Linked DNA regions of Callithrix jacchus. The protein of the gene in region 2 interacts with the protein of the main gene of each other region in a pairwise test. Links are inferred from orthologs where the notes say so. Each region holds a gene or a part of one and is shown on either strand. Other genes may lie near its edges.

The links.
Region 1: the proteins of PRPF31 (region 2) and KCTD6 interact in binary tests that used the Homo sapiens proteins (3 or more experiments, as listed by UniProt). The two-hybrid records come from large-scale screens. The link is inferred for Callithrix jacchus from reciprocal best matches to the Homo sapiens genes PRPF31 and KCTD6.

The regions. Positions count from the first base shown.
Region 1 is NC_133516.1:40,274,872-40,285,022, reverse strand, and holds the start of KCTD6 (BTB/POZ domain-containing protein KCTD6), read right to left. Parts: upstream 6,379-10,151; 5' UTR 6,126-6,378; intron 4,184-6,125; exon of another isoform or gene 3,940-4,183; intron 1-3,939. UniProt on the Homo sapiens protein: Probable substrate-specific adapter of a BCR (BTB-CUL3-RBX1) E3 ubiquitin-protein ligase complex mediating the ubiquitination and subsequent proteasomal degradation of target proteins.
Region 2 is NC_133523.1:47,309,233-47,317,551, reverse strand, and holds the end of PRPF31 (U4/U6 small nuclear ribonucleoprotein Prp31), read right to left. Parts: intron 7,606-8,319; coding exon 7,516-7,605; intron 5,197-7,515; coding exon 5,069-5,196; intron 4,974-5,068; coding exon 4,901-4,973; intron 4,280-4,900; coding exon 4,151-4,279; intron 4,066-4,150; coding exon 3,967-4,065; intron 2,364-3,966; coding exon 2,238-2,363; 3' UTR 1,945-2,237; downstream 1-1,944. UniProt on the Homo sapiens protein: Involved in pre-mRNA splicing as component of the spliceosome. Required for the assembly of the U4/U5/U6 tri-snRNP complex, one of the building blocks of the spliceosome.

The DNA.
Region 1 (10,151 bases), on a different chromosome or scaffold from region 2:
AAAAAAAAAAAAAGAAAAAGAAAAGAAAAAGGGAGAAGGGGAAACCTCTCTTCATCAGCATTTCAGCTATACAAACCAATCACCTGAGTAACAGCATCAAAATAATAAACCTCCCAGGATACCAGCATGCCTTTCCAAGAGAAATACATCAGAATGGTATATTATAATATTAAGAAATAGGATGTTTTTAAATAATGATGTATATCTCTTTGTACAATAATTAAAACAAATAGATAGCAATTTAAATGCCAGACTATTAAGAGCACAATTTGGGGCAAAAAGAACCTTATCAATATAGATGAGAGTCAATCAGCCAGCACTCATGGAGAGCCAGCCTTAAGACACTGAGAAATGCTCAGATACTAATGATGCCAATGCAAATTTATTTTTATCTACAATTCTAAAGCACTTAAACAAACAGTTTCCCAGCTACTGAACTGCCTTAGTCAGTTCCCTCTCACATACTTCAATCCCAAATCAACCTGCAAAGCAAACTGCAGAACAAATTCCAAAAGCTCTGGCAAGGGATGGTAAGAAACGTGGACTTAGCGGTATTGATCCAGGAAATGCACTGTTTTTTTTTTTGTTTTTTTTTTATGTGGTCCTTGAACAGATCCACTTTTCCCACTTTTAGAGGAATCTGGCACAGAATTCCCAGAACAAGCCCTGGCTACAGAAGATCACAAAGGCTCTTTCTCAAAAGGTCACTCAGGCATGTAGAGAACATTTGCATAGCACAGCATGGGCTGAAATCAGAGCCTGAAGCATCTATTACTCTACCTTGCAAACTCTTCAAAGCACACAAACTAAAATGTGGACCAGGCTCTAGGCAGTCAGTTTTTATTCTTTACACAGAGCGGTAGGATATAGATAGGCCTCCACATGCTATGGGGCGAGAAATGGAACAAATGTCAAATTCAAGATTGTTATGGCAGTCTTTCATTCCTCTGACTTGCTTCACAAATAGTATCCGAAGTAAACAGAACCAAGAAACGGGCTTTGCCAATTTGTCTTGCCAGAATCTGATTCAGTCACTGATAACAACAGATTAGTAACTGAGCAATTTAAAAGGCCACTCATCCAAAAGTTCTGGTAAGATGCTCATCTTTGGCATTTTCTCATCATCCAAAGTATTCATTCCTGACAACCTCAATAATAATTCGTTCAGCCAACAATTCTTGTGGGTCACCTCTGGGGTGGATGGGGTGCCTATGTGCAACATGGATACATGGAAATACAAAAAGTACAGTCTTTGCCCTCATGGAGCTTTCCATCTATAATGGAAGGCAACATGCAATGACTGAAGTACAGAACAGAATTCAAAGTGCCATATAACAGATGAACCAGCAGAGGCCCATGAGAGGGGAAAAGTAAGATTCCAAATGGGAAAATGGAGGACTTCTGGGAAGAGCTCACTCAGTTGAATCCTTGAAAGAAAATCTGGACAACCTGAGAAGGGATTCTAGAATGAAGAAACAATTTAATAGACAGGTATGAAAGACTTTTTTTCCCCCTACAACATTCCTGACACCAGTAGGCGAGCATGGATTACTATCCTCATCTTAGAGATGCAAAACAGACAAACAGGGCAGATTAAGTGACTAGCTTAAGGCATCACAGTGGGGAAATAACTCGATAAGAACTTGCATGTTCTGACTCTTAGTCTAGATTTTTCCATAAATCCCCTCCTAGGGTAGAAATTGAAAGAACAGAATCTAAGAGACAAGAAATTGAAAAAGATTAACTTTAAACTCTCTACTAGCCATCTATTAACCCTATCCACCCAGTAGGGTTTTATTTACAAATTTTACAGTAACAGCCTAACTAAACAGACACATGGGTTTGTAAAAATTCTCCTGAGTCCCGCTCACACACAAAAAAAGACAGGAACCCATTCAATTAGTGTGAATAATGGCTGCTGTCCTCTGTCTGCAGTGACATAAGGAACTCCAATCCAGGGCCTGGTGCGGTGGCTCACGCCAGTAATCCCAGCACTTGGGAGGCCGAGGCCAGTGGATCACGAGGACAGGAGTTCAAGATGAGCCTGACCAACATGGAGAAACGCCGTCTCTATTAAAAATACAAAAATTAGCCGGGTGTGGTGGTGCCTGTAGTCCCAACTACTCAGGAGGTTGAAGCAGAAGAATCACTTGGGAGGTGGAGGTTGTAGTGAGCAGAGGTGGTAGTGAGCCGAGACTGCACCACCCAAGCTGGTTAACAGAGCGAAACTCTGTCTCAAAAATAAAGAACTCCAATCCATGAATATCCAAATGATTAAATGAGAAACAGAAGACCAAAGACAAGAAAAAAAAGAAAAAAAAAGAAAAAAAGCATACATCAATGTTACCACTGTTAATGAAAAGTCTGTCTACCATTAATCTTTTTTTTTTTTTACTGCTAAATCAAAACAAGGTAACTTCTTGAGCATTATTAAAAAAAAAAAAAAGAAGAAGAAGAAAGAAAGAAAATTAGATGATGTCCCTGAATCTGGTCCACAGCAAATGCAAAAGTTCTGGTACAAAGATGTAATGAAACCTCATGCTTAATAAATCAGGAAAGCAATTATGGGAATCTATAGCCCACATTTCTTAAAAAGTACCCAAAAGCCTTCCTATACTTGTATATAAGATACATCAAAATAAACTGAAGCAAAGTCACTATTAGTCATTTCCAATAACAATGACTAAACTGTCTAAAGAAATCAAATTGTTCATTAAAAGTTCAAAGAGCAAAAACAGTATTGATTAAATTTTATCTCTACCTGCTTCTAAATATCTCCTGTAGAGATACTTAGATACAGCAAGAAGCAAATTTTTAAAAAGGCACAAAGAATTCCTTGTTATTCACTAGCTGGATAATAATCAGCTTCTGAATTCTGAATTGATGACCATTAGGAACATCTCTGAAACCATGCAGATGAATGAAATATAACATAATCCCAAGGAATTTCCAGAATGGTTTCAATCTCTTCTACTAAATCATTTTCCAGAGCTGCTAACAATTAGAAAATGATTTATTTGCTTTTCATCTTCTCTCCCTTCTGGCATAGTCTCCAGTGGAGGGCTTAATGAGAAGTTAAATGACCACAAGATAGGCAGCAGAAGGAAGATCTTGAAATGGGCATCAAATAGGCCTGTTTTACTAGATGAAGGCAAAGAAATATCTAATGTTTCAGAAAATCTGCCAGAAATGGTAACAAATGAAAAATGAAAAAAACTTTCCTTTACAGTGACTTTCCTTACTAAAACTAATGATGGTTTTGAAAGACAGCAAATGCAACCAAGCACAAACAGCCATAAAGATCAAAGAAGTCTCTGACTCTGTAAAATCAGTTCACCTGAAAAGATTTAACCTTTGACGCAAATAAAATTCCTGTGAAAACACCACCGACCATTCCCCAAAGAATATAAAGCAGTGCTGAAAATTCACCCATGTTTAAGCTTCAAAAGTTATTATGACTAATGTATAAATTCTGACAGTGTCATGTTAGCAGGTAATTAAGCTTAAGAAAACACATACTGAAGAATTTATAGAAGCCTTAAAAGAAAGTATTAATTTTCTAAAGTAGCATATCTGAAGAATACATAATTCAGTAAGTTAATAGCTTAAAAAGTAACCTAAGAACCCTTAAATGCAATTCTCCCTACCACTGTGGAACTGCAATTACAGGCTTACTGGTTATGATGAACTAACTTAACAAAAATATTCTGAGTTTATCATTTCTGCTATAGACTAAGAATTCTCCAGGGCCAAAGTCCTAATCCTATATAACAACTTACATGTTGCAATATAAACCTCCAAACTTCAATGAATAATAAAAACCTCCAACTACTACCTTCCCAGAGTTTCCAGGCAGCCCTTTAAAATGCTTTTCTACTGAAACGTTTTTGTGTCTGGCATTCAGAAAAGACTCAATAAACTCCCTCTTTCTATACTTACCTTCAAAATTGCCTTTGTACTGAGTTTTGCTCTTCTCGAAATGTGGGAGTTTGAAAGTGAAATACTTTTTATAGTAACTGGTTCAGTGACATCTAAAGGAGTCTTTGGGGTTAACATTCACACACAGGCCAGCACAAGTAGCCAGGCATACAAGGATAATGTGATTATGGTGTTAGATTATCCTTAACCATATGACTGCAGGAAAAGTAATCATTTTCTCTTTCTCCCCTCTCAACCATGTGGTCTAGAAAAGAGGAGCTATAGGTTGAAAAGTGACCTAATATTAAAAAAAACTGTCATAGATAGTCACAAAATCATAACACTCCTCTTAACTCAGTTTCCACAAGAAAAAACAGGATAATACCACCTTCTCAAAAGTAATTACACCATTTAGGCACAAAAGAAAGGCAAAAATTGGCCTCTAAGAGTAACACAACAATACAAAGAAGAGAACAGTTCCCTGGGAGGTCCTGTAATCGAATTCTGCTCCATTACTGATTATGAGACCCTGAGAAAATCACTCTATGCCCAACTTCTTCTTTGGGGAAATGGAGAAAATGAGTGAAATCACGAATATAAAACCATCTGCAAATTGGCAAGTATTAAATATGAAAACACTAGTGGCAGCAGTATAAACAAAATTTCTATGTTAACATGAGAAACTTGAGTGTGAACACAAGTAATTTAGAGCACTGGCCTGGAGACAGGGCAAATATAGAGAAGGCAGCCTCTTAATTTGCTTCAAATCTCCCCAGGTGCTCCTTTTCCCAGAGCTCCAGAAGGGAGAAGTACATACAGGTAAAGGGGGGTGCCTAGCTTTTCCAGAGATCACCAGACATCTGAGCTCTTGATCTCAGAAGGAACTTATTTAAAGCATGACTCAGGATTATCTCCAAGGTAAAGCTGAATCCCAGTAAATACATGTACTCCATTTTAAATGGACCCCAAATATCAAAATCCAAACACACTGAAGGATTCATAGGGTTCACCCTAAGAGCCCTTTAAGTAGTGATACTTGGGTTAAAATATGATTTATGAAAATTCAAATCACAAAACTTAGGAATAGCATCCATGACTACCCTGACCGCTGCATCCTTCATATCTAAGGCAAATCACAAAATCAAATATCAATATGGACTGATGGTTTTCCGCCAAAGAGAAAATTCTCTCAACCTACCAACACTGCTGACAAAAACATTTTCCTTTTCCTAGCTACACATTTGTTCATTTGAAAACATCTCAATCTTGGGCTCAGGACTGTGTCACATGCTGTCCCCAAGCTGCTTTCCTATCCCAGGATGATTCAAGTAATAGGGCATTCGTGACAGCGAAAAAAAGAACATGCCAGGGGGATATGGAGAGATACTTGGGCTACTCCAAATCTGCTTAGCGAGCCGGGTCATCCCGGGCCACTTTGCCACCCAAACCTCCTTTATCACAAAGTCCTAAAATTGGATCCATCAACTTGTTCTAGAACTGGTATACTTGAACAGAAACATGATAACTTCAGCAGAATATCCAAACAGGATCTCTGTCACGTTTCATTTCCCCGTCCCACCCCCAGACACAGCCTCCACCGTCAGCCCAGCAGGTGCTGCAGGGGCTCCCCATTACCACGGTCATTTATCACCTTGACATCAAGCATTAAAAATGCCACCACACACACAAATCTAAGCTTAAAGAACTCAGCTGCAATCTGAGTGTCTCTTCAGGGCAGAAAAGCCCACAGGCAGGGTTTAGAGCCCTGCCTCACGTTTTAAACTAGGGCAATTGGTGGCTAATAAGCGCCATCTCCCAAAATCAATCATCTGCGAGCACACCCCGAATGTCCCCGTCTGGGCTACGCTTCGCTGTTGCCCCGCCAGCAAAGCCCCCGCAACCCGACCCCGCCAGGGGTAGGGCGGGCGATGCTCCGGGCCCGGACGAGGGGCGCGCCGAAATCGCGCGTCCCCGCCGGGCGGGCCCCGGAACCCCCGCCCAGGCCCGACCGCGGGCACCTCCGCCGCGGGCTCGTGCCAGCCCCTGGACGCACGGTCCCCTCAGCGCGGCCCCGCCGCCGCCCGATTCCAGGCTCCCCCGGCCAGAACCTCCTCAGCCCAGCTCCCCTGCCCGCTCGGCTCAGGCATGTCCGGAAACCCGGCCCTTCCAAGCCCCGGCCCCGCAAGCCCAGCGCCAGCCCCACTCACTGCGCGGCGGCGGCCGGGCCGGGAGCTGCCCGCGGCCGGAGAACGCGAGCGCAGGGACGAGCGAGCCCGCGCCCGGCGACGGCGGTGGCGGCGGCGGCGGCAGAGGGGACGACTGAGCCCGCGCCCGGAGTTGCGGCTCCAGCTGCCCGGCGCGGGCGGCGCCTTCCCAGCAGAGCCTAGGCGCCACGAGCGCGGGCGCCCCCTACCGGCGGCGCGGGCGGGAAGCCAAAGGGACCGGCGGCCGGGGGAACTCAGCTAGCGCACCCGGAGCCGCGTGGTTAAGACCACACCACCGCAGCCCCGAAGCCCCGCCCCGAAGCCCCAGTCCGGTCCCCTAGGCTCCGCCCCTAAACCCCGCCCCTACGTCCAGCCTCCGCCCACATTCTGGGGTCCGCCCAGCCACAAGCCCACTGCGTCCTCAGGGCTGGTGTCGCGCAGCGTTTCTCCTCAATCATTTCACGAACTTGTATGGGGCCCCACTATATCTCAGGCCTGGGGGTTTAGGAGATACAGCGCCCACCAAGACGGAGGCGGGTTCTAATGGAAGGACAAGACAGACAAAACTCAAGGTAACAGCTAGTAGACAAAATAATGACAGGTTATGATCATAAGTGTTGGAAGGGGAGTGATTAGAGGATTTGATGGAGCAGAAGGGAAGGGGACCCCTGCTTCAAACGCAGTGGCCAAGGAAGACCTGGACCCGGACCTGCGGCCAGAGCCCCTCCTGCCTGCCCTGCATTGAGGAGACTGCTTCTATGAGAGCTGTGAGGAAGCCTCCGGGGCCACCCATCCGGCTTGGAGGGCAGAACAGTAAAGAGCAGCCGGGCCCAGAGGCTCTGCAATATGGGCAGCCAAGTGGAGAGGAGGGCAGAGCCACCACAGCAGACAAAACGACCAGTGCAAAGGCTCTGGGGCCTGGAGGAGCTCCGCGCTAGACAAGGCTGGCGCCGGTATTGTCCCCACTTCACCAGGAAGGAGGCCAAGGCTTCAGAGGATGGGCAGCTCCTAAGGCCTTAGGGCTCATTGGTCTCCATGAGTCCACTTGTTCCAAGTCCCATTCGCTTCCTGCTAGCTAGGTCGCGGTCCCCTTCCGGTGAAGCCAGTTCCCTGATGGTGGGTTTGCTGTTTCCGCTTCTCCACCAGAATAACCACTGGCCTTAGAAACTCACTCGGGTTTCACATCTGCATGTGTGTGAGCTGGCTCTGGGGCTGAAATTCTTATCAGCATCATCACAGTCATATTTGATACTTGATTTTTCTCCAAAAACTCAAATTGATAGGTTAAATAAATGACATATGCTTCATCAACATAACTGAGTGCTACATTATCAACTTCACAAGACTAGGGGAGAATACAGGGAAATGTGTGTGAAAATAATCAGTACACAAACTAGTATACATGATATAATCCTGATTTTATTTTTTAAAACATAAATATACACAGACAAAAATTTTGAGGGAAATACATCAAACCATTGATCATCATGTTGAAGATAATAGTATGGGAATGTTAATGACATTGCTTCTTAGTGTTCTTCTGCATTTTCATGAATATTGAATTTATAATCAGAACACATGACTATTGAATTTATAATTAAAAAATACGAGTTTTGGTTTGTTTGTTTTTTTGCACCCCACCCCACCCCACCTCACTCCGGCTTTTATTATTTTTTTTAAACAGGAGGACAATACCAAAATTACCCAATACTCAGACTTCCAGAATTTGGTACCACTGAAAATCCAGAATTGTCTCTGACTTACTGAGTGTCCTTGAAAGAGTCATTTCCCCTCTCAGGGCTTCTATCCCCCAAATAAAAACTGATGGATTAATTCTGTTGGTGTTTTTGTCAGACTTAGTCCTTCCTATCTTAACAATTTTTAGAACTATTGTTAATTGTACCTTCAAATTTTTCTTTTATAATTGACAGATGGCTATTGAAATGCAGTTGAGCCGGGCACAGTGGCTCATGCCTGTAATCCCAGCACTTTGGGAAGCCGAGGCGGGCATATCACGAGGTCAAGAGATCGAGACCATACTGGCCAACATGGTGAAACCCCGTCTCTACTAAAAATACAAAAAAATTAGCTGGGCATGGTGGTGTGCACCTGTAGTCCCAGCTACTTGGGAGGCTGAGGCAGGAAAATTGCTTGAACCCAGGAGGCGGAGGTTGCAGTGAGACAAGGTCGCGCCACTGCATCCCAGCCTGGTGCCTGGTGACAGAGTGAGACTGTCTCAAAAAAAGAGAAAGAAAAGAAAAGAAAGAAAGAAAGAAAGAAAGAAAGAAAGAAAGAAAGAAAGAAAGAAAGAAAGAAAAGAAAGAAGGAAAGAAATGCAGTTGGTTTTTATGTAATCTTATAGCCAGCAAAATTAAACTCTTTTTCAGTTCTATTAAGTGTGTAGGTTCTCTTGAATTCGCAGTGCAAATAATCATAGAGTCTGTAAGTCATGACAGTGCGGTATCTTCCTGTCCTTTTTTTCCTTTTTCTTGCTGCACTGTGGTGACTAAATTCTCCCACACAATGTTGAAAAGCAGTGATGGTATGGCCACTTCTATCCTGGTTTTGACTGCTTCTAACATATCACTGTTAACTGCAGTGTTTGTTGTGGATTTTTTGATAGACATTCTTTATGAGGGTTAGGAAGCACTATTCTTCTTTACTGTCAATGGGTGCTGAATTTTATCAATGTGAGATTCTCCCCATTGCAATGCAATGAATTACATGGATTGTATTATACTATATTAAATAAGATATATTATTGTATCTTATGATATTAAGCTATCCATGTATTCCCAGGCTAAACTCGCCTTGATGATATATTTTTTAAGTCAATATATTTTTATTAAAGGAATTTCACATGTCATGATGTATTACTTTTTCAATATACTGCTAGATTCCATTTGCTAATATTTTACTTAGGGTCTTCATGTCCATATGAATGACTGAGATACGCTATTATTTTCCATTCTTATTCTTTCCTCATCTGGCTTTGCTATCAAAGTTCCATGAGCCTCACAACATACCTGAGTGTCTATTCACTAGACTGGGATTTTTCTGTAGTTTGCATGTTCTATAGGCGTCTCCTGTAAACCATCTGGATCTGTTGGTTTCGGGGATTGGGGGTGGAGAGGGTTTACATTGGAAGCTGTTTCTGTCCAACACCATCCCCTCTTCTCCAGGTGCCCCACTCCATGGACTGGCTCAGCCACCTCCATCAGTTCCATTACTGTGTCTGAGCTGAAGGCTTCCAAACCCGTGACTCCAGCCCAGCCCTTTCTCCTGAATCCAGAGCTATAGATCTCACCTATTCTATAGCCCCAACTCTGTGCAAGGCACTGTGCCAGGTACTTTTACCTTCTGTATCAGTTACCTTTTGCCCCATATTGCTCAGGGTTGCAAGCCTGCAAGGGAAGGCTGGCTTCTGGCTTACAGCTGCCCCTAGCCCTCTGCACCTTTCTTTTCCAGGTGGCCACCAAGCATCCAGGCTCCTGTGGTAAAGAGACTGATCCTGGTCTGCCCTGGGCTAGGCTGGCCTGGAGGGGGCTGTTCATTATCAGATCTACACCTGTTATAGGAAGGAACCAAGCCTGGTACAGTGCTGGGAGGGCAAAGGGGGACCAGCAGTTGACAAAACTGATCCGTAGGAATGAAGCCTGGAGTTCTGAGTCCCCTCCCTGTCTCCCTCCTTCCTCTCCCAACTCTCACTGCCTAGTGGACCTCACCTCCTACTTGTCAGGAAAACCTTTCTCCTTCTGTGGGAGCTCCCTGGACCCCTCCTTCTTCTCTAGCTCCTCCTCGTAGACTTACAGAGATGCTCCTATTGTTTTACCCTGGACACTTATACCCAAGTTTCTGTCTAACACCTTCCCCTCCTCTCCATGTGCCCCTCTCCATGGACCGGCTCAGCCACCTCCATCAATTCCATTACTGTGTCTGAGCCAAAGGCTTCTAAACCTGTGACTCCAGCCCAGCCCTCTCTCCTGAATCCAGAGCTATAGATCTCACCTAGTCTATAGCCCCAACTCT
Region 2 (8,319 bases):
AGGTGGAGAGAGGAAGGGAGAGGGAAGGTAGAGAGAGGGAAAATGGAAAGAGGGAGAAATTGTGGAAAGGTGGAGAGAGAGAGGGAAGGTGGAGACGTGGAGGCATCATCTTGCCACCAGGGCTGCTGCCTGCCCTGGTAACATGCCTTAGGTAACTAACAGACGCCCCGACCTGGACCTCATAGCTCAGGTGACGAGGGCCTCCTTAGTACCACTGTGAAGCCCAGCTCCGGAGCACAGAGTAAGTGGAACCCCTTGAGCTGCTCTTCCTTAACCTTTCCAGGGAGACCACGGTTTCCTGCCACCCACTAGGACAGCCCCTGCTGTCTCCTCTCCTGGAAAGCCTTTCCCGACTGTCTGCAGGCCACAGTCCCCTCAGCTCAAGTAAAGGTGTCCCTGGCCGAGCCCCGGTTACCAAGACTCCATGACTGGAGGGCGGGTGTGCTCCTGCTGCTCACCTGGCAGCAGCTTTCACAGCAACCAGGTCCTACCAGGGCAGGGAGCCTGCCCGCTTTCCCTTTGCCAGGGCTGCACACAGCCGCTTCACACTGGTTATAAATGAGGCTGGGCAGGTGCGGTGGCTAACACCAGCAACCCTAGCACTTTGGGAGACCGAGGCACACAGATCATTTGAGGTCAGAAGTTCAAGACCAGCCCGGCCAATATGGTAAAACTCCACCTCTACTAAAAATACCAAAATTAGCCAGGCATGCTGGCAGGCACCTCTAGTCCAGCTACTGGGGAGGCTGAGGCAGCAGAATGGCTTGAACCTGGGAGGTACAGGTTGCAGTGAGCTGAGATCTCGCCACTGCACTGTAACCTGGGCAAGAATGAGACTCTGTGCCAGGCACAGTGGCTCACGCCTGTAATCCCAGCACTTTGGGAGGCTGAGACGGGTGGATCACAAGGTCAAGAGATCGAGACTATCCTGGTCAACAAGGTGAAACACCGTCTCTACTAAAAATACAAAAATTAGCTGGGCATGGTGGCGCATGCCTGTAATCCCAGCTACTCGGGAGGCTGAGGCAGGAGAATTGCCTGAACCCAGGAGGCGGAGGTTGCAGTGAGCCGAGATTGAGCCATTGCACTCCAGCCTGGGTAACAAGAGCGAAACTCCGTCTCAAAAAAAAAAAGAATGAGACTCTGTCTCAAAAAACAAACAACCAAAAAACCCCCACAAAATTTGGTGGTAGGTGCCTGATCCCAGCTACCCAAGAGGCTGAGGCAAGAGAATCACTTGGACCTGGGAGGTGGAGGTCACAGTGAACTGAAATCACACACTCCAGCCTGGGCGACAGAGTGAGACTCCATCTCAAAAACATGAATAAATAAAATATAGTAAGAGGCTAGACGCAGTGGCTGAAGCCTGTAATCTCAACACTTAGGGAGGCTGAGGTGGAAGGATCACTTGAGCACAGAAGTTCAAGCCCAGCCTGGGTAAGAGTGCGACCCCATCTATAAAAAGTTTCAAAATTAACCAGGAACTGTGGCATGCGTCTGTAATCCCAGCTTGAAACCAGGAGTTTGAGGCCGTAGTGAGCTATGATTACATCACTGTACTCCAGCCTGGGCGACAGAGGCCTCATCTCTAAAAAACACCAGTAACAGGACCCAGTTATTGGGTGCTGACGCGAGCCCTGTGCTAAGTGCTTTCTGCGCGTTCTTTCCAGCCCTGGGTGCCTGGGCGTAGCTGTGGAGGCTCGGAAAGGCGAGGCAACCGGCCTGAGGTGCCAGCGCAACCTTGGTCAGCCTGCGCTGAGATCTTCAGGTGTCGGCTGCCACACCGTCTGCTATCAAAGCGACTGAGGTTCTCCAGGGGGTTGGTGAGAAAGGAACAGGGGAGGGAGTGCGCCCCGGAGGCGAAGCTCTTTTCCCCAAACTCCGAAGCTCTGACTATTCTAGTTGCCCCAGCTGTTTGAAAAATGATCACTCCCCAAGGACAGATCTTGATAATGTGCTTTTTAATTGCACTCTCTTCAAAAAAGTATCTCCTTTCTCAGTTAAAATAAAAAAGACAAGGCATGAAGACCTGCTCTAACCCATCCAGGGCGGTGAGCTCCATCCTGGAGGAGGCCGGGCCAGGCTTCTTCCGAGGCCCCTCCCTGGGCAGTCGAGCACCGGGTGGGCGGCAGGGAAGGCTCTCCCTGCCACAACCCCTAACCCCCATCCCAGCCCTTCAGAAGGCCTGGACTTCAACGTCCCTTCAGTGGGAAGCCACGTTGGGCACACGCTATCATTCAGGTAGACATGAGGCCACTCTTCTCGCCCTTGACCTTGAGGAACTCTGCCATGCTGGAGAAATACTTCTGATTGGCCTCAGCCACCTTCTTCTCCGCGGCCTGTGGGTTCACAATCTCCAGGCCCTAGGCAGGTGAGGGAGAGAGGATGATGTGTTGGGCAAGGAGAAGGCCCCAACTGACACGCCAGAGCCCCCCAGGCCTTTCCCCGTGGTACTCAGGCCTTGGGTGGGCATGGGACAGTTTGCCAGTCCCTGGAGTCGCCCTGCCTTGGAAGATTCTGCCTCAGTGGGTCTGGGGGGAGAGGGTGGGGAGAAACCAGGGCACCTAGGTTTTTAACAAGTTCCCCAGGGGCTGCTAAAAACACCAGTGCCTGAGGACAGCCAATCCTGCTCAGTTTCTGGATGAGGAAACTGAGTCTCTGGGGGATGTGGCTGGCTGGAGGTCCCAGCACAAATCACACCAACACTACTGATGATCACAGTGTCCAGCGATAGACGCCGGCACCTGGCTGGAACTTCCTAAATATTTTCAAGGCCTGGGCAACAGAGCGAGACTCTGTCTCTAAAGAAAATAATAACAGGCTGGGCGCGGTGGCTCAAGCCTGTAATTCCAGCACTTTGGGAGGCCAAGGTGGGTGGATCACAAGGTCAAGAGATCAAGATCATCCTGGCCAACATGGTGAGACCCAGTCCCTAATAAAAATACAAAAATTAGCTGGGTATGGTGGCAGGCGCCTGTAATCCCAGCTACTCAGGAGGCTGAGGCAGGAGAATTGCTTGAATCCAGGAGGCGGAGGTTGCAGTGAGCCAAGATTGCACCACTGCACTCCAGCCTGGCGACAGAGTCAGACTCCGTCTCAAAAAAAAAAAAAAAAAAGAAAGAAAAGAGAAAATAAGCACAGGACCTGTCATCAGGCTCCACCAGCAAGTGCAGGACCAAGTGCCTTCTGTGCACTCCTTTTTCAGAACTGAACACCTCATAACATGGGAGTGGAGGCAGGGAAAGGTGAGGCCCTCCCTGGCTGTGCTAGGACGAAGGCCTCCCTGTCCCACCTCCCACGTCCTTCCCTCCCTGGTATTTCTGCCTTTTACCACACTGGGCATCTTACTGATCTGTCTGTGCCCAGCCACCCACAGGCTCCAGGAAGGCAAGACTTGTCTCTCTCATTCACCGCTTCACCCCCAGAGCCGAGAGCACCGACAGCCGCTGTCTGAGCAGATGAGCTCCCCACTGTCCCACAGCCACGGTGCAGGCTCGCCCTGCTCTGTGGATGGCAAACCGCGGTGCCGATGGTGCGGTGACTGCCGTGCTCCAAGCCACTCACTGCTGACTGGGCTGGGGGCCAGACCCACACGTGACACCCAAGCCCACCTAGCTGGGAACTGTTTCGAGTGGGGTCCTGAGGTTACCTTAACCACTCTAGCCATTTCAAACTGAGGTCCTAGAGGCTGAGCAATGTAACCCGTTCATGGCCCCACAGAGAAAAACAGGGTCCCTGGGATGTAGCCCCGGTCCCCGCTCATGAGGACTGTTGTGCGCCTCTCGTCTCTGCTAACCTCGAGCACTTGCTGTGTGCCAGGGGCTGCCGATGCCTTTGGCATGTCTTCACCACACCCCCCGTGACAGCCCTGTAAGGGGACTCATTGTGGCCTGTTCACAGGGGCAGAGGGCAAGGGGCCTTGCCAGCATCTTGGGGCTGGGGACAGAGCTGGCCCAGGGCAAGTACCTGGAGTGGGGTGAAAGCCACGCTGGAGGCCGTGCCCGACGAGCGGTCGCGGATGGTGGACTTCCCGCCATATACCACGCTCTGCTTCTGCAGGGTCCGCTGTGGGAAGGACAGGGAGGCTGTTATCTGGGCTCACCCTACCTTGCGTCCCTCGGTCCCTGGCCCCACCCAGGTCGGCACATACCTGCAGCGTCTTGGAGATCCTGGCCTTGGTGGCCTCGTTGACCTGTGTCTGCCGCACGCGCCCACTGCCCGACTTGCCCAGGTGGCCCAGGCTGAATCCCAGGTCCTCCTGGTAGGCGTCCTCCTCGATCTAGGGGGAAAGGGAAGCCCCTGCCGTCAGGGACCAGACCCCGCCCTCCAGCCACTCAGGCACCCCCTCCACCAGCTAGAAGCCCCGCGGTCACCAGCTGGCTGGCCCCATGGGCACCTGCTCGGGTACCCACTCGGCCCAGCTGAGGCCTGGGGGCCCCTACAAGCCGGGGATGCTGGGGAGCCTGAAAGGGGCTGGGTCCCGGCGCTGCTCTGTGAGCTCAGAGTTGAGAGGCCTTCCTTATGCATGTGGGTTGGGGGGTGTCTGGAACCAGAACAGGTTCCACAGGATGAGGTGGCCTCTGAGCTGGGTCTTGCAGGACCAAGGGGATGACACTGGGATAACGGAGGAGACGGGGCTCACGGAGGGAGGGGCCGTGCAGAGGGCAGGAGAAACTGGCCGAGGAGCCTGGGGTGATGGGAAGCAGCAGGGACTCTGAGGGTGACAAGGGTCACTTTGGGGCTGAATGGATAGAAACCAGAGTAGAGGCCAGGATCGTGCCCTAGACATGAGCCAGGGCCACAGGGCAGAGAGGAGGGAAGGCGGTGGGAGGCAGGGGGCGGCGGCGGCTGCCTGTGGCCGTGAGTTCTCCTCATGGCTTCAGCGCTAGGGGCATCTAACCTCTCCGAAGCTCATGCGGTTAGCCTGTTTCCGGATCTCGGTCAGCCCCAGCCGCTCCTTCATCTTGCGGTACCTGGGTGGGCAGGCGGTGCCAGGGAGTCAGCTGGGGGGACACCGGCTCCTCCACTCCACGACCCCCATGCCTACTGGACCCCCAGGGGCTCTCACCTGCGGCCACCTCGCTTCTTCCGCTGCCCATCCAGGGGCGCAGGCAGTGGTTTCACCTGCTTCACAGGCGGCGGCTCCTGCCACTTGTCAAACTTGCGCTCGATCTCGTCCTTGAGTTCGTAGCCCACCTAGGGAGGGTGAGAGCAAGGGGTGGGTCCTGCTGCTGCTCACGTGGGCTGCCCACCCAGGCCTCCTGTGTCCGCTGTCTGCCTGTCCTCTGCCTGTCCACCCGAGCAGACTGCTCACCCCAGCGCTCCTTCCTTGCTCCGGGGCCCCGGAGGATCTCATCTGCTCTCTGGGTTTTCAGATCTGTCTACAATCTGATGCCCTCATCTTGGCTCAGACCCCTCCTCTGGGTTCTGTACCCTGTAAACAACTGTCTACTTGACACTGGGATTGTTAACAGCCCTTCAAATGTACCAGGGCCAAGCAGAATTCCTGCTCCTCCTCCCCAGCCTTCCACCCTCCACCTTCATTCTCCTCGGGTAAGCGATCAGCAACTCTGAGAGCCGGCAGCCGACTCCACTGTTCCTCTCCGCACCGCAGATCCCAGATCTTTCAGAACAATTCCAAACTGGCCCCCCAGGCCCTCCGCTGCCGCCAGAGTTCTCCTCGGGGCGCACAAGGCTCCACCAGGGCCTCCCTCTCTCCTCCAGGGCTCTTGGCGCTCCTGCCTCAGGGCCTTTGCACCGACCGACCACTACCCGTACTGGGAAGACTCTCTCCAGAGAACCCACGTGCCTTGCTCCCTGACTTCATTCAGGTCTGTGTTAAACCCTCACCTCCTCAGAGCTCTAAGTCCCCCCGACTTCCAGTTAAACCAGCACCTAATGTCTCCCCACCCCAATCACCTGCCTTTTTCTTCTTTTTTTTTTTTGAGATGGAGTCTTACTCTGTCACCAGGCTGGAGCGCAGTGGCGCAATCTCAGCTCACTGCAACCTCTGCCTGATTTCAAGCGATTCTTCCGCCTCAGCCTCCCGAGTAGCTGGGACCACAGGCGCGTGCCACCACGCCCAGCTAATTTTTGTATTTTTAGTAGAGACGGGGTTTCACCATGGCCAGGATGGTCTCGATCTCTTGACCTCGTGATCCACCCGCCTCGGCCTCCCAAAGTGCTGGGATTACAGGCGTGAGCCACTGCGCCCGGCCGCGTTTTTCTTCTTGATGTTTACCTAGTCCTACTAGGCACAGGACAGATTGCCCCTGTGGACTGTCTCCCAACCCGGCCCCAGTGAGAGTATCCACGCCATGGGACAGGGCTCTGTCTGCGCTACTCACAGCTGCATTCCCTACACCCAGGCCGGGGGTGAGACGGAGAGAGGGAAAGGAGGAGGGGGAGATGGAACACCTGATTGCCGAGCCAGGCGGGGTGCTTGGCAAGCAACAGTTCACAAGACAGAAAACATGTCTCCTCTCCCGAGTACATCTACCAAGGAGACAGAAGTGAACTGAATAATTACTTGAATAGTATCCCCTGTTGGAGGGGGACAGATCCTGGTGCGGAAGGCAAACTATGCCCCCACCAACACACACATGCCCCAGGAGGTCCGTGTTCTAACTCCCAGAACCTGTGAATGTCACCTCAGGGCAAAAGGGACGTGAAGAGGTTAAGGAGTTTAAGGAGTGTGAGCTCGGAAGACTATCCTGGACCATGTGAGCAGGCTCAGTATAGCCACAAGGGCCCTTAAAATAGATGGGGAAAGACAGAGGCCAAGATCTGAAGACAGAAGCAGGGTGAGATAGGTCTGAGGGTGCCGCGCAGCTGGCTCGCAAAGGAAGAAGGGCCACGAGCTAAGGGATGCCGGCGACCCCTAGCAGCTGGAAAAGGCAAGGAGTCCCCCAGAAGGAAGCCTCTGGGCTGACACCCTGACTTCAGCCCAATGAAACCCATTTTGGACTTCCGACCTACAGATGGTAAACCTGTGCTGATTTTTTTTTAGATGGAGTCTCACTCTGTCACCTAGGCTGGAGTGCAATAGTGGAATCTCAGCTCACTGCAACCTCTGCCTCCTGGGTCTAAGCGATTCTCCTGCCTGTTTCCAGAGTAACTGGGATTACAGGTGCGCACCCCATGCCTGACTAATTTTTGTATCTATAATAGAGACGTGGTTTCACCATGTTGGCCAGGCTGGTCTCGAACTCCTGACCTTGTGATCTGCCTGCCTTGGCCTCCCAAAGTGCTGGGATTACAGGCATGAGCCAACTTGCCCAGCCAAACCTGTGCTGTTTTAAGCCAGTAGGTTTGTGCTACCTTCCTATAGCAGCCCTAGGGAATGAACACACTGGGGAAGGGGCGCCTGACCCCAGGGAGGGTCAGCAGAAACACTGCCTCTGCCCTGGTAGGACAGTGCTTGTTGGGGTGAGCTCCCTGCTGGGGCTCTCCCCGCACAGACACCCCAGGCCCAGAGGAAAGGACGCCCGGCCGCCCCCTCCTTCCCCTCCTCACCTTCCCCTCCGTGCTCTCATGGAAACTGTCTACGCGGGCTGCCAGCGTGCACTTAGCAGCCACCAGCCGGGCCGCTTTCCGCCGGAGATCCTGGAGCAATGGAAAACGGGAATAGAATCTGTGTGAGACAGACAGACAGACATAACTGCACACCAACAGTGGGTGCTTCTCATCTGGCTCCACTGCAGGCTCTAGAGGTGTATGCTCTTAGCTCCCTCTTCACAGAAGAGGGGATGAGGGCAGGGTGCAGAGCCACGTCTGGGCTGGTGAGCGGCAGAGTCAGGTAAGGACACCAGCTGGGAGTGCACTCAGCCTGGATACCAGCTCCGTGCTAAGTGTGCCCTTTGGGCCATCTCATCGAATACTCAAACATCGGGCTGCTGTGATCACTGCACCCCCTTTTCAGGTGTGGACACCAAGGCTCCAAGTCACATCGCTAGCGACACAGCCGGGAGGTGATGGAGCCAGGGTTCCGATCCAGACTGCAAACAGAGCCCAAGCTCTCAGCCACAGCGACGCGATGGCCAGCCCTGGCCTCCCTTACAGGCCTGTGATGTCTACATCCTGTGCCTGGACCGATCTGGGATGGGAAGATGAGGCGGCAGAGGCCCTGTGTGACAAGACACCAGGCTCCCTGGGGCAGGTTTAACCCACAGCCTAGGGCTGTGAGGCAGTGGTGATGGCCTTATGAGGTGGCTGGAGCCCCGAGCCTCAGGCCCACCACTCCTGGGTTCTAAAGCCCACTCTCCCTTCTCCCAGGATGGGGTGACCCACCAGCACCCCTGGGGGTGTGTTCCAATAGCA